2 linked regions of the Pelodiscus sinensis genome follow. The main gene of each other region encodes a partner of the protein of the gene in region 2 in a complex. Links are inferred from orthologs where the notes say so. Each region holds a gene or a part of one and is shown on either strand. Other genes may lie near its edges.

The links. Proteins that work in one complex are often made in the same cells at the same time.
Region 1: the proteins of ARPC1B (region 2) and ARPC4 are in contact, whole or in part, in a cryo-EM structure (PDB 6YW6), measured with the Homo sapiens proteins. The link is inferred for Pelodiscus sinensis from reciprocal best matches to the Homo sapiens genes ARPC1B and ARPC4. Residues at the interface, in NP_005711.1 of Homo sapiens: Glu9, Pro10, Asn28, Gln54, Thr72, Arg74, Asn96, Arg97, Ala98, Arg100, Ser143, Thr144, Cys162, Trp204, His206, Leu245, Pro246, His263, Ala319, Gly320, Lys326, Asn327, Ser328, Met350; in NP_005709.1 of Homo sapiens: Gln17, Cys21, Leu22, Glu23, Asn24, Phe25, Ser26, Ser27, Gln28, Val29, Glu31, Arg32, Glu45, Leu46, Leu48, Glu124, Gln125, Tyr127, Lys128, His129.

The regions. Positions count from the first base shown.
Region 1 is NW_027465905.1:101,113-108,890, forward strand, and holds the start of ARPC4 (actin-related protein 2/3 complex subunit 4), read right to left. Parts: upstream 3,004-7,778; 5' UTR 2,849-3,003; coding exon 2,846-2,848; intron 2,612-2,845; coding exon 2,493-2,611; intron 1-2,492. UniProt on the Homo sapiens protein: Actin-binding component of the Arp2/3 complex, a multiprotein complex that mediates actin polymerization upon stimulation by nucleation-promoting factor (NPF).
Region 2 is NC_134726.1:31,969,211-31,976,268, forward strand, and holds the start of ARPC1B (actin-related protein 2/3 complex subunit 1B), read left to right. Parts: upstream 1-4,046; 5' UTR 4,047-4,096; intron 4,097-6,652; exon of another isoform or gene 6,653-7,058. Other genes in the region: ARPC1A (actin-related protein 2/3 complex subunit 1A), read left to right, coding at 251-257. UniProt on the Homo sapiens protein: Component of the Arp2/3 complex, a multiprotein complex that mediates actin polymerization upon stimulation by nucleation-promoting factor (NPF).

The sequences.
Region 1 (7,778 bases), on a different chromosome or scaffold from region 2:
TGCATGTGAGTCTTACACCAACACTGTGTGTACCTCAGTTTCCCTGGGTACTGCACCAAGGCCCAGGTGCTAGAACTGAGAGAGACTTTTACTGAGGCCCTTGGACACACGAGTCTGCGCAGCTACCTGCACACACAAGGTTGTGCCAGAGCCCTTGGTGCCTGAGGCCCAAGAAGGGATGCAAGTAGGACAAACACCAGAGAGGACGCAATGCAGGGCAGCAGCTGGAACAGGGTCAGTCTCAGCTGGCTTCAAGCAGAACAGCTCTGAACTAGGGATGTTAAATGTCGTTAATTGAATAGTCGAGTAACCTGAATTCTTATTGGTTACTCGACTATTCTGTAGCCCCTGGGGGCGGGGCTGGCAGCCAGTGCGCTCTGGCCTCACTCTTGAGGAGCCCCCGCCACGCTGCGCTGCTGTCACTGTATCAGAGGGAGCAGCACAGGGTTGCCAGGCGGGAGCTGGTCCACGAGGGGAGCCAGTTTAAAACCCACCCCCCCTCACGGATCGGCTGCCTATCGCCCTGCGCTGCTGTCTCTGATAGAGGCGCAGCAGCGCAAGGTGGCAGCAGCCCCTGTCACGGGGGCCTGAGCTCCCGGACCCAGAACAAGACGGATCTGAGCCGAGCTGCCTGCCCACCTGGATCCTAATACACTTTAAATGCAGAGCCGCAGTGGGGGTAGGTCCCGGACCTGGTGTGAGCCAGGACTAAGATGGGCTGCTGGCCAGTCTGCTAAAAAATTGACTGCCGGGGCGGGGTGGGGGTGGAGATGAGTGTAATCTATAGCATTAACCTATCAGCTTTTGCTTGTTGGTTACTCGACTCCACTGTTACAGCCTTACTCTGCAGTATGCCCCTGGTGACTGGGACAGAGGGGCTCGGAGAAGGGCAGGGCAGGAGCTTAGCCTTGGGGAAAAGGCAGGACAAAGATGTTCACTCGTGTGGGATTAGAAAGTTGGCAACCCTCCAATGAACTGAAGAAAGGGACACAAACTGGGAGAAGCCTGCTGGGAAGGATCCAGATTACTAGGAAGCTGCTTGCTACTCCACCATAGGAATGTTAAGATGTGGTGAACTGGCTAATCAAGTAGTTAGTAGAATTTGTATTGATTAGTCAGTAAGGGAAGGCAGCCCGGCTCAGTTCTGGCTCGCACCGGTTCGGGACCTACCCCTACTGCAACTTTGCAATGTAAACGTATTAACACAGGGGTGGGCTATAATTTTTGCAGGGGGGGGTCACTTAATGAATTTTGGTATGTGGTCATGTGTTGGCTCCATGCCTGGAAGGGGTGGGGTGGGACCTGGGGTGGAAGAGTGCGGGGCTGAGGACTAGCCTTCCCCCCTCCCAGAATTGTCTGGGGCCAGGGGCTTTGAATTAAACACACAGTGAAAAGCTCCTGGCTTCGCTGCCTGTGGTTGCTGCAGCTATTTAAAGGGCTCACGGCTCTGGCCCCTGCTGGGGTAGCGCCATGGTTGGGAGCCGGAAGCCAGCTCAATAGGATCCTGCTGCCTGAGCCACCGCCTGGAAATTCAGGGGCACAGGCAGCAGGATATGAATAGAAAGAGGCCAGTCTGCAGGCCGGGGAGCAGGAGTCAGTGCTGGGGGGAGCTGGCTTAAAAGCCAGTTCCCCCCAGCACCATCTCTGTGGGGGCAGGGGAGGTAAGGCACAGCAGGAAACGGCGCAAGCGGAGACTGAAGCACTCTCTGCTCCCACTGGTTCTGCTGTGATCATGCAGGCCTTCCGCTTTTGAACTGTAGCAAGAGCCGGCAGTTCCAAGGTGGAGGCGCCCTTATCGACTACTCGAGTAGTCAATGGAAATCCCATCTGAATTTAACATCCCTCCTGCCCACCTGGCTCTTAGTACATTTAAGCTTCAGAGCTGCAGCAGAGGTAGGTCCCGGACCCAGCGTGAGCCAGGACTGAGTTGGGCTGCCCCGAACAGGGGCTGCTTTGCTGCAGCAGCCCGCATCTGCAGGGAGTGCCAGGGGACAGGGGCAGCTGCTGGAGCAGCCTATGCCCATGGTGGGCCTGGGCTCGCTGCAGACAGAGGCTGCTTTTGCAGCAGCCTTCCCTTGACCCCACCCCACGCTGCTGCCTCTTACAGAGGCAGCAGCATGGAGTGTGTGGGCAGGCGGCACCATGAAGAAGGTGCTGGGGGAGAGGAACCAGCTTTTAAGCTGGCTACCACCAGCACCAGCTCCCCATCTCTTGCTGCCTCAGATACAGAGGCAGCAATGGGGGGGGGGGATGCAAGTAGTTGAATACTTGCTTACATCTCTACTCCATAACCCACAGTGCTTCTCCCAGCCTTAGTCCCACAACCTCCTAATGAGAGGCACTGAGTTCAGGAAGCAACCAATCCCCCTGCTGCAATAAGGTCTCCAACTCCTCGGAGGGCCTCAGGACATGCAGCAGACTTCAGTGTAACCCTTGCTCCTACCCCCCACCCCCCGAACACCTCAGGGTCCCAGCTTCCTCCTAGTAAGTACCTGACTTCCACCTCCGGCTTGTTGTGTCTCTCCACCACCTGGGAGGAGAAGTTCTCCAGGCATAGGGCAGCCTGCAGGGTGGCGCGCACCGCATTCAGGTAGGGGCGCAGAGTGGCAGTCTGGGGAGAGTAGGGAAATCAGAACAAGGGCAAGAGCCCGGACTCCCCCTCGCTCCTCACCCCTCTTCCCCCTCCCCCCATTCCCCTCCGCACCCCACCCCCTCCCCCCATTCCCCCCCGCACCCCACCCCCTCCCCCTCCGCACCCCCCATTCCCCTCCGCACCCCCCCTCCCCCTCCCTCCACCCCCTCCGCACCCCCCATTCCCCTCCACCCCCTCCCCCTCCCCACCTACCATACTGGCAGCTTCGCTCGTCCAGTTCTCCCGGAAGCGGAAGCGGACGTGGCGAGCTCAGGCGGCTCCTCTCTTCCGGGATGGGCGGCCGTTCCATTATCGCCCGCGGGGGTGGCTCGTTCGAGCCTCCGTCCTTCCTGTCCAGAATGGGACCGGCCGCGCCGACCCCTCCCACCGCCAGTCCGCGAGGGGGGCGCTCGGTTGCCGCCGCCCCGCTGTGAGCGCCGGGCTCCTCACCCCCCGGCCCGCACTTGGTACGTTCCCGCCGCCGCTTCCATATTAGGCAACGGCGCGCGAGCCTAGGGGGCGTGGCCAGGGCCAGGGCCGCCCTGGGCGAGCGACGGGGGCCGGAAGGGGCGTGAGAGGTGCCTGGCTGCCGGAAGTGCCCCCCCGCGCCGTGTCAGTGGTAGCGGCGAGCGGCCCCCGCCCCCGCCGGAGGCCCGGCCCGTGTGTCAGCGCCCGCCGGCGGCGCCCCGTAAGCGGCCCCCCGCCCCCCCCCGGAGCCCCCCCGGAACCCCCCCGCCCAGCGGCCCCCCGCCCCTCTAGCCCGGCGGGGCCCCTCCCCGCCCAGCGGCCCCCCGCCCCTCTAGCCCGGCGGGGCCCCCCCCCCCGGCAGCCTCCCGCCCCTCTAGCCCGGCGGGGCCCCCCCCCCCGGCAGCCTCCCGCCCCTCTAGCCCGGCGGGGCCCCCCCCCCGGCAGCCTCCCGCCCCTCTAGCCCGGCGGGGCCCCCCCCCCGGCAGCCTCCCGCCCCTCTAGCCCGGCCGGGACCCCCCCCCCCGGCAGCCCCCCGCCCCTCTAGCCCGGCGGGGCCCCCCCCCCCTGGCAGCCTCCCGCCCCTCTAGCCCGGCCGGGACCCCCCCCCGGCAGCCCCCCGCCCCCTCTAGCCCGGCGGGGCCCCCCCCCCGGCAGCCTCCCGCCCCTCTAGCCCGGCGGGGCCCCCCCCCCGGCAGCCTCCCGCCCCTCTAGCCCGGCGGGGGCCCCCCCCCCCGGCAGCCTCCCGCCCCTCTAGCCCGGCGGGGCCCCCCCCCCGGCAGCCTCCCGCACCTCTAGCCCGGCGGGGCCCCCCCCCCTGGCAGCCCCCCGCCCCTCTAGCCCGGCGGGCCCCCCCCCTGGCAGCCCCCCGCCCCTCTAGCCCGGCGGGGCCCCCCCCCCGGCAGCCTCCCGCCCCTCTAGCCCGGCGGGGCCCCCCCCCGGCAGCCTCCCGCCCCTCTAGCCCGGCCGGGGCCCCCCGCCCCTCTAGCCCGGCGGGGGCCCCCCCCCCCCGGCAGCCCCCCGCCCCTCTAGCCCGGCGGGGCCCCCCCCCCCGGCAGCCCCCCCGCCCCTCTAGCCCGGCGGGGCCCCCCCCCCCGGCAGCCCCCCGCCCCTCTAGCCCGGCGGGGCCCCCCCCCCCGGCAGCCCCCCGCCCCTCTAGCCCGGCGGGGGCCCCCCCCCCCCGGCAGCCCCCCCGCCCCTCTAGCCCGGCGGGCCCCCCCCCCCCCGGCAGCCCCCGCCCCTCTAGCCCGGCGGGCCCCCCCCCCCCGGCAGCCCCCCGCCCCTCTAGCCCGGCGGGGCCCCCCCCCCGGCAGCCCCCCGCCCCTCTAGCCCGGCGGGGGCCCCCCCCCCGGCAGCCCCCCGCCCCTCTAGCCCGGCGGGGCCCCCCCCCCCCGGCAGCCCCCCGCCTCTCTAGCCCGGCGGGGCCCCCCCCCGGCAGCCCCCCGCCTCTCTAGCCCGGCGGGGCCCCCCCCCCGGCAGCCCCCCGCCTCTCTAGCCCGGCGGGGCCCCCCCCGCAGCGCCCGCCCCTCCAGCCCGGCTCCCCACGATGAGCGAGCTGAAGGACTGCCCGCTGCAGTTCCACGACTTCAAGTCGGTGGAGCACCCGAAGGCCTGCCCGCGCTACACGGCCGTGCTGGCCCGCTCAGAGGACGATGGCATCGGCATCGAGGAGCTTGACACGCTGCAGCTGGAGCTGGAGACGCTCTTGTCCTCGGCCAGCCGCAGGCTGCGGGTGCTGGAGGCCGAGACGCAGGTCAGGCTCCCCAGCTCCTGGGGCGGCGGCTGGAGTCCATCCGTTTGCCAAGGCCTGTCGGGGCCCAGGAGGGCAGGGCAGCCCCCCAATGCAAAGCTGCCCCCTTTGCGCACCGCCATTGGGGATTTGCCCATTCCGTGGTGCCGGCGCTGGACGGGCTGGCCCAGTGGGAATTGCACCACGGCAGTGAAATGGGAGGGGTGGTCCTTCCGCTGGTGGGGCTGAGCCGGGGCCGTGGCCAGGCCCTGTGCTATGCAGGACTCAGGCTGCATGAGGAACGCCCTGTGGGCCGAACAGGCTGGCTGCAGCATAGGCCTGCAGCAGGGTCCCCGCTCTGCGGGTTGGCCTGGCAACGAGGCCTCCTGGCTTGTGTCCTCTGTCCCTGGAATTGCTCCATACGGTGGGGAGCGCCAGGTTGGCCTAGGGATCCAGGTCCCCTCCGCCGCGGCACAACCCTGCTTGCTGCAGCCTGGCACCTCCTTCCCTTCCTTTCTTCTCCTCAGTGCTCCCTGAGCTTGAGGGGAGCCAGCCCAGGAGAAGGCGCCTGAGGGGACGGGCTGCGCCATGGTTGTTATAGGGAAGGGGCGGGGGATCCATAAAGAGCAGACAGTGCTCAACAAGGGCAAGGGGTTCAGTGGGAACTAGACCCTCTGCTTCCCCCAACTGGTTCTTGGCCGCACCCCTGGGGTGCCACTGAGGTGATGCTGAGCCGTGGGGGGCTGTGCCCCTGAGGTGATGCTGAGCCGTGGGGGGCTGTGCCCCTGAGGTGATGCTGAGCCGTTCTCTTTCAGATTTTGACCGACTGGCAGGACAAGAGGGGGACAAGCGGTTCCTGAAGCTGGGCAAGGAGCATGAACTGGTACCCCCGTGAAACATGGAAAGCCCAAGAAGCAGAAGCTAGAGGGGAAGGGTGGGCATGGCACAGGGCCTGGCCCAGGGCGGCCCAAATCCAAGAACCTCCAGCCCAAGATTCAAGAATATGAGTTTCCGGACGACCCTGTGGACGTGCCTCGGATCCCCAAAAATGACGCCCCAAATAGGTATGGAGGGGTCCAGCTGGGGCCGTGGGGGTTCCCAAGGAAACGACCTCATTTGCCTGGTGAGCAAAGCCCCCAGATGCAGGGCAAGGAGCAGTCGGGTCTCACCGCACTGTCCTCGGGCACGGAGCCCATCACCTGGGCACAGGGCAGCCACGCTCAGGTCAGCAGCTCTGCCCTTCCCTCTGCCGGCAGGTTCTGGGCCTCCGTTGAGCCCTACTGTGCTGACCTCACCAGCGAGGAGGTGCGGACCCTGGAGGAGCTGCTCAGGACCCCGGAGGATGAGGCTGAGCACTACAAGGTAAACACTGCAGCCCCGTGCCCACTCTGGGCGAGCGCTAGCCACAGAGACATCCTCCCCCGGCTCCAGGGGGTGCCGTGCCGTGAGGCACTCTCTGGTCCGTGTGGGGCGACTCGGGCGGAGGGCCCAGACTGACAGGTGGCTGGATACTCTGGGGTGTCTTGCTCTCCGTAAGCCCTGTGCTGCTGGGGCAGCAAAGCCGGTTACCCTGGGCTGGGCGTGCCGTGGAACAACAGCACCCATGTTCCTTTCATTTCCAGGCAGAAGTGATTCAGGCCCTGGGTATTTGGAAACTTGTCCCCTGCTCCAACACTTGGGCCTCCCGCTGCTTTCCAGGCCTAGTCCAATTGCCTGCTGCAGTGGGGCAGGAGACAGCAGCCTCCTTGCAGGCCAGCCCCATGCAGAGTGAGCCAGACCCCTGCATGTGGTGGGCTGCACCTTCCTTAGCCCTCTTTATCAGCAGCAGCGTGGGGCAAGAGGCAGCCGGTCCGCGAGGGGAGCTTGTTTTTAAACTGGCTCCCCCCATGGACCAGCTCCCGCCTGGCGCCCCATGCTGCTCCCTCTGATACAGCGGCTGCCGCCCTGCCCCCGGGGACTTCAGACCAGTCGACTCACCGATAGGTGTTTGTGAGGTTACTTGACTGGTCAACGAACCGATCTCGAACATCCCTGGAACAGACACCCTGCAAGGCGGTTCCTGTTAACTGCCACATGACAGTGCCTCTTCGTCTGCTTCATGCAGCTCCTGAAGTGGCACCTGGAGCTCCCGTTCGGAGGCCACTCCTGGGCAGCTGGTGCTTGGCATAGACTGGCACTCCCCGGGGGTGGCAGAGGCCTGTCCCACACACCCAGCAGCCCCACCTCTCAGGCAGACAGGCACATGCTGGCTGCTCTGCAGGAGAGCCGGGGCCCCTTCACCGAGTGGCTGAGACTCGGGTGAGACCTTGTGGGAAGCAGAAATCCAGAGGGCCAGGACCCCTCTGCCCCAAGTGCAGGAGTGAGAAAGCTCGTGCTGTCAGCTCCTGCCAGGAAGGCTGCAGCTGGCACCCCAGGTCCCAAGCTGGTCCCTTGGCATGTGCTGTGCTGTCAGCCACACCAGGGCTGTGCCGAAGGAGACGCTCCCCGTTCTTGTGTGCAGGGGCCGACCTCTGGCCAATTGCCCTGTGGTTCCTCCCGTCACCTGACAGCAGGCCGAGGGAGACCCCCAGCCCTCTGCCCTCTACCTTGGGAGGGTAAGGGCCGGGGCCACAGGCAGGCATTGCTGAAGGTGGGGCCCTCACAGGACATGCACCAGCTCCCTGCAGAGCCTGCTGGCACTATGTTATGCCCGGGGTGGGTGCAGGGTGCACACAGCCCTTCCCTGCCGCGGGGAGGTGCTGAGCCAGCTCCCTGTGCACTGTTGCAGATCCCGCCTCTGGGGAAGCATTACTCCCAGCGCTGGGCCCAGGAAGATCTGCTGGAAGAGCAGAAGGATGGAGCCCGGGCGGCAGCCGCTGCTGACAAAAAGAAAGGCGCACTGGGCCCGCTGACAGAGCTGGACACCAAAGGTTCCTCTGCGCCAGCATCGGGGGGCCATGGGGGGGGGGCGAG
Region 2 (7,058 bases):
CAGTCAGTGTGTAACTCAGGTGTTCATAACTCTGAGGCTTCACTTTACATGCTTTTTGCAAGAGAACTGTTGGTTAATTTATAATCTGGTAGCATGTGCCAGCCCCAACCCATGTAGGGACCAAGTTAGGGAACGAGATCCAGCTCATGTTTCATCTGTTTTGTTCTGTCACTTAGTTTTGCTGTAGGAGTTAACTGTGTTCAATACAAAATAGTGTAGTAGTTACTGATAAACATTTTTCTCTCTCAAGACCTTAGAGTCCTCTATTCAAGGTCTACGAATCATGTAAAGATGGATCTCCGTTATCTAGCATGACAGACTGCTTGACAGCATGCCGCTCCAGCAACCGCACAGACCTGAAAAGGGATGAGCAAGCTGGAACATTTGGAAGCACTGAGAAGATATGGCTTGGCAGATTTTCTTTAAAATACGTATTTGGTGAAATGTGTTGGTTTCAAAATCAGCTGTGATTGTCTTTTTCATTTTGATTGGTTGTTTCATTCCATTCTTTACCAAAGCTGCTCCATTAGTAGTATATTGCAGGACGTTATGGATCACTAACTTAAAAGGGGAATTTTATGTAAATTGTCTGCTAGAAATAAAAGATACAGAATGTGTTTGTAGTTTGGCTTCTTGTTAATGATCTAATCAGTAGTGAGTCCATAGGAAAGGAAAACACCTTTAATATGCCCTATATCAAGAGGATGAAGTTAATCTTCTCATCTAAAAGCTCTTTCCATCCAGACTTCTGAAAGAAAAGCCTGGTCATGGAAAGTAGTAATTTTAGATGAGGGAGACTTGTCTCAGTGATTATTTCCAGAGTGATTAGTCCTGTCTGTCTTAGCAGTTAACAAAGATTAATAGTAGCAAATTAAAACTGAAAGTCTTCTCATTATCAGCTCAGACTTGGTTTGCTAAAGGCAAATTAAATGACTTGGATTATCTGTAATGCTTTGAGGCTTGCACTGAGCACCACCTCAAATAGCATTAGCTCAAAGTATCTATGATATGGGATGGAGACCACATAATGGAGTTGAAACATAATTAATGTTGAGCTAGAGTCTAAGAGGACAAGTGAGACAATGACCTTAGCATGGTGTATACAATTCTAGTTTATTATGATGACTGGAGGATGCAGATTGTTTAGCAGCACAGAGAGCATGGACCAGCTTCTCCAAAGACTTTAAAAAGTAATGTGGGACTGGTCATACTTGCTGGAGTTCTTTTGAGTCCCTGATAACTCAGAAGCAGTTATGAATAACTGTCCATATGGCCATGTAAGGTGATTGTCGAATCTTAATGCATGCCTTGAGGTTGGCAGTGCATTAGAGAGGATTATCTGGCTAAGAGCAGTTTGCATTGCCTCATGTCAGAACGTTGCATTTTAAACACAAAAAATGAAGGGGAAAAAAAACTTACCCAATGCCTATATTTACCACTTCCTCTAAACCAGTATATAACTTGATACACTGCTTCCCTTTGACTCTTTGAAAAAGGGGGTGAGGGGGAGCCCACAAGGCATTGTCTCTTTTGCATGTCTAAAAACAACCTACCTACAACTCCCAGGCAGATCTTTTTTCAGGTAAGGGGTCTATGAAACAGAAAAATGATGATTTTCCAATTCCTCTTCTGCTTCTGGTTTCCAGAAGTGGGGGAGGGAAGTCACTGTTTTGCAGTTTTTCCTTCATCTGAAGGGCATGGATTTATTGGGACTGAAAGGAAACTCTCGTTCAACATTTAGTGCCGTGATCTGCAAAGTATCATGGTTGATTTCATCCATAATGCATGTCGCTTCCTTGTATATTCTACCTAAGTCTCTGTGCTTGAAACGGTAGTGAATTAAACCTCTTCCTCTGCTATTGCATAGGTATTATCTCCCTCTTGCAGACAAGCCTTTCAGAGCTAGGAAAACATCCCTCTAGCTAAAACCTGTCACAAGAAGCTACTGGAGACGACAAAAGAGTGATGGAGTCAGGGAATGTATTGCCATGAATACACAACTTTTTTCAAACAATTTAGGAAAAATTAAATGATCCATTCCAAACCAAGCAAAACTGTAACAGTGGAATGTTCCAAGCTATCTATAGTTGGACAAGTGTTACATACGTAAATCCTCTGGAAAAGGAGGTGGGGAAGTCAGTTAACAACTCTTTTGGCTTCTCACTTCTGGAGAAGACAAACTCCAGAGGAGCCTGACTCAGCCCTGGTGCAGGGGGACAGCAGCATGAGGAGGCAGGGAATGCGTGTAGTTGACCAGATTAACCAATAAGCCTGGGCTTATTGGTTAATCGTGTAGTTGTTTACACAGTGACATCCCTAGTGCTCACTAATCCTCCTGTTTAAGATGATCCTCTTCTGCTGCCTCTTCTATGTGGAGAGTCTTAACAGGGGGAAGCAAACCTGCAAAGTTGCTTTTAACAAATACAGGTTGGTCAACACCGGCCCCAATCCTGCTGACCTCGAGGCTCTCCTCCTCCCACTGAGCTTCCCTGCTGGCTGCCAGCCACCTCTGCTACTGGGCTTCCAGTCCCGTTACGGCTACTGGCCCTCCTGCCACCAGCCCAGAAGGGCTCCCAACCCCAGTAGAGCTGCTGGCCTTGCAGGGCTTCCAGCCACTGTCCCCCATGCTGTCAGACTCCCAGGTGCTGGGGCCCTCTGATACAGAAATGTCTGATCCATTCAACCTATCCCCTGCCCCGAACCCATTTGTTTGAAGCAAAGAGTCTTGTTGTGGGAAGTGTTTTGGCTTAATTTAATTTCTGCCAGCAAAAGTAACCATACGAGGAAGCTGCACCCGGCCTGCTGCATTCCGTGTGTCAGCTGGTGTGGTTTGAGCGGAAACACATTTTAAAATACATATCTTTGGAGCAGGCCAAATTAGAACGCTCAGTTTAAAAGATCTGTATTAGGACCTGGCTCATCAGTTTTGTTTAAGAAGAGCCAAGCCCAGCCCCATATACACTCACTTGTGGTCCTGAAGGTATCCAGTGCCTTAATTGCCCCTGGAGGCATCAGTGAGTAGCGGGGCTTTGTGACAAAGCTGGAAATAGATCCTAGGAGTCCTGAGACCAGTCCTAGACAGCAGAGCCTGCTTACTCTCTTGCAGGGGCTACATTTTCATCCGACTTTGGAGAAACACAAGATCACTGCAAGAGCTGCACATGTTCAGCAGCCATGGCTCTGTCCTGGTTAATTACACCGCAGCTCGATAGCAGCCACGCCTCTGCCTGCAGCAAAGAGGAAGTCCTATCACTGATACAGGACACTGCTGGGTTTGCCTTCTGAGCTTTCTGTGTTCAGTCAGATAAGTGTCCTTACCACAGACATGACGCTGACCTATAATTAATTCACAGCCTGGACACGCAGGAGCGGTGAGATCTAGGGGAGGCCTTCCGCCAGCTGAACGTCTGAACTGCAGCTTGGAGAGGAGACTCTTTGTTCTGCAGTGAAGTAAACCCATGCTCTCTGCCAGGGCTCTCTGATCAGTGGTCGTATTCTTGTGCGGTCCAGCCCACTGCTTACAATGAAAGAGTCAATACACTGATGGACCCAGGAAGGGATCCCTGGCAGAGCAGCTTGAGAGGGGCACTGCTGAGATGACAGCTTCTAGCCCAGGAGTAGCTTGAAGGGAGGATGGGCTTGGCTGGAGGAAATGATATCCACAGGGTAGGAAATCAAGCCACTGTTAATTAACTACTTTTGGCTCTGCAAAGACTGTAGCAGGTGCATTGTTAGCCAAGTCCCCCACTGAGGGACAAGGCGTGGTTACACCCACCAGCTTGCCTTGGAGGCTTTTGCATCTCTCCCCTCAAAACTATCCTCTTGCCTGATTTTAAGAGTTTCTTGCCAGACCATCCTCTGTTACCTTCAGCCCTAAAGCCTCCTGCTTAGACTAGGGCCGCTCTGGGAACACCACTCCTTACATGCTGCAGGAATCCGGACTATCCAGTTAAGCAAGAAATCTAGGATAGGCCAGGAAAGGTAAATCTTGAAGCATTTTTGGGTCGGGCCTTTGTGCAGCTATTTCAGCTACTTATCCTCCCCTCAGCAATGCCCGGGATATTAACTCTGCACACTTCTCCAGAGATTTACAAAGGTTAGTCACCCTGTCTGCTATGGTGCCGGTTGCCTTAGAAATATGTATTGGTAAATAGTCAACCCATTCCTTGTGTGAGGAAACTAAGTAAACTGTTGGGTGCCTGCTTAAGAGTAACTATGACAATCCTGGTTTTAGGCAGTGTAGGTGGAACTTGGTAATAACTTGTTCCGGTAATATTGTTTACTGGACCAGCGTCTGTGAATGAGTTTTTGCCCAGAAGCCATAAGCTGGCCCTACCATGGAAGTAGTAGGAAAAAAACCTCTTAGTTTACTGTGAGCATTTGACCATGGTTGTGTATAGTCACTGTCACTGTTTCTTCCTTGCTAAAGTGACACTGGAAAAGAAAAGGGGAGGGGTTGAATTTGAACACAGAAACCCACTTCCTCAATTATTAGTAGCATTTTAAAACCCCTTCAGGCCACGGTTTGCAACAGGGCAGGAACGGGGCTGGCTGAGCCCAGACCAAAAGTATCTTTAAAGCAGGGGTGGGAAACCTATAGCCTCAGTGGGGGAGGATCCGGCCCCCAGCTTGCCTGAATTTGGCCCCTGAGGCCCAGGACTCTACCCACTCAACATCAGGGAGCTGGCACTGGCGCTCCAAGCCTGTAGCCCCCTGCGCTTCTCTCTGTAGGGCTGAAGTGCCTGCCTCCTGCCCAACCCCCTTTCCCCCCACCTCCAGCCTGATCCTGCACCCTCCCAGCCCCGCTGACCTCTATCACATTCCTATGCCCTCCCTCCTACCCACACCCCAAGCCCACTTCCTGGCAGCCCCCTCCCAGACACAACCCCACATTTTTGGCCCCCCACAATCTCCTAGCCTGGGCCTCCCTAGACAGTGATGTGTGAGGGGAATGTGGAGAGTCTTTTTCTGCTTCTGACTCTTAAGTGGCTACACAAATGCTCAACTTACAGGGAACACTGCTCAGCTGTGGCCGTTGCCGTGGCAAAGTGGAAGTCTGTGGTTCTTCATTATTTTGCTTTTAAGGTGTAATTTATAGAGAAAGGGGAGACTTCCCTCCTACACCGTAGCCACGTTTTGCCAGCAACACTGGTCCCCAGGAGCCACTAAGAGTGCAAGGAGCTAGCCCCTCCTTGTCCAGCAGGGGGCTGTTCCACTGCAGGCCACGAGCAGGCTGTCTCTGCGCCCTGCTCCTTCCCCCAGTGCCACCAGGTCTGTGCCACCAGGTCTGTACGCTTGTGGCAGCTGGACTGGAAGTCGGGGTGAAGCTCAGTGCTGCTCTAATCTGGTGGTGGGTAGGGTTGCCAGATGGTTGAAACAAAAATACTGAACACCCCTACCCCCAAAAAAAAACACTGGGAAAAAATTCTGTTGAAGGGGGGAAAAAAAGAGGGGGGGAGACCAAAGTTGTTGAGCCCCCCCCAAAAAAGGACTCCAAGGACTTGAGCCAAAAAAAAAAAATTCTAATAAAACAGTGTGTCCCCTTTAAGAGTGAGTGCAGGGGTAGGAATAGGGGAGCGGGTGAGCACTAACATCCAGAGGAAAGTATTGCTTCCCCTAGGTCTTTTGGCTGGCAGCCATTTTGTGCTGGCAGCCTTGGGGAATCAGGTAAGCATGGGGGTCGGAGGAGCTGGGAGTGTTGGGGGCCAGAGGGAGGTTCGGGGCAGGGAGGAGGCTGGGTGCTGAGTGTTTGTAGGGTTGCCAGGTGCCCGGCATTTTCGCTTCCTGGCTGGGGAAAAATTCAGAAAATACCGGACATCTCAGGTGCCTGGTATTCTCTGAATTTTTTTTACCGGACAGGAGGTGAAAATACCGGACTGTCCGGGTGAATACCAGACACCTGGGAACCCTAGTGGTGGGGCGCTCGCTGAACTAGGCCTCAGCAGCCCAAGCTTTGTTGAGATGCAAACGACCTCCCCCGTGTCCCTATGCCACACTCTGAGCTGGCCTAGGGAGCAATCTGACCCACAACCCTGAATCATAACATTGGGTTAGCAAAGCGCCACGGCTTCTCTTTAACTCTGTGGCGCAGCGGCATTGCCTGCCAGGAGCCGGATTCCCATCTCATGCACCAGTTTTGTGGCGTCACTCCCTGGGGCTCCTCCTGTGCGTAAGGGCGAGTCGGGCCCTGCGAGCACGGTTGAGCCCACCAGGAAAGCAGTGTCATGGTGCCATACTGAGAAGCCAAGCGTGAGGGACATTTTTGACCCTCCTTCCTCTCTGCAACCTGCCAGTACGGGAAAGACGTAAATAGGCCTCAGACTCAGTTGGGATACACTGGGCTGGCGTGCCAGAGCGGGGCGAGCAGTCAGTATTTTGCTCAGAAGAAAGAGTGGATATTTGTCATTGTGAGGACGCTTTGGGTCTGATCCTGCACACGCTTCAGCAGGGCCGCTCACAAGAGCGGTTACTCGCCAATCTCATGTCAAGACTCTTACTCCCAGGCGTCAGGAAACACGGGGTTGGGTCTTCACAGCCACCAGCCTATCCCTTCTAGCTATGAAACTGTCCAACTGAGGGGGAGGCAAAGCAGAATCTTTCCCTGCCTCTGCCTCTTCCCTTCGGCCTTTCGCAGCCAAGTCTCCTCATGAAGCCAGGCACCTCGACTCTGCCAGGTTTGTGGGCCAGATGCGAACGCAACCGGTTGCTGAGCGTAGCAGCGATCCCCTGAGCTCCAAAGGCATCTGCCAAGCTGTAGCGAGGAAGTTCCGGCACTTCCACGTGTCGGCCTCAGAGCCTTGCAGACAGGCCTGGAGACCGGAGGAAGACAGCCCAAGCCTGCTGCGGCGGCTGCTTCTGCTGGAGGCAGCCTGTGCAGCGTTCTGCAGTCCCCAACGCCCACGCAAGGAAGTGGTTACATTTCTCAGAGAGGAAAAGGGAAGTCAGGCTGCTTCAGAGCGAAAACTCCACTTCTGCCTTTCACTCCGGGCTGGTTCGGCTGCCGTTCGTGTCGACTGCCCAGAGTCCATGAACTAGCAGACCCGCCTCGGAGGGAGGGA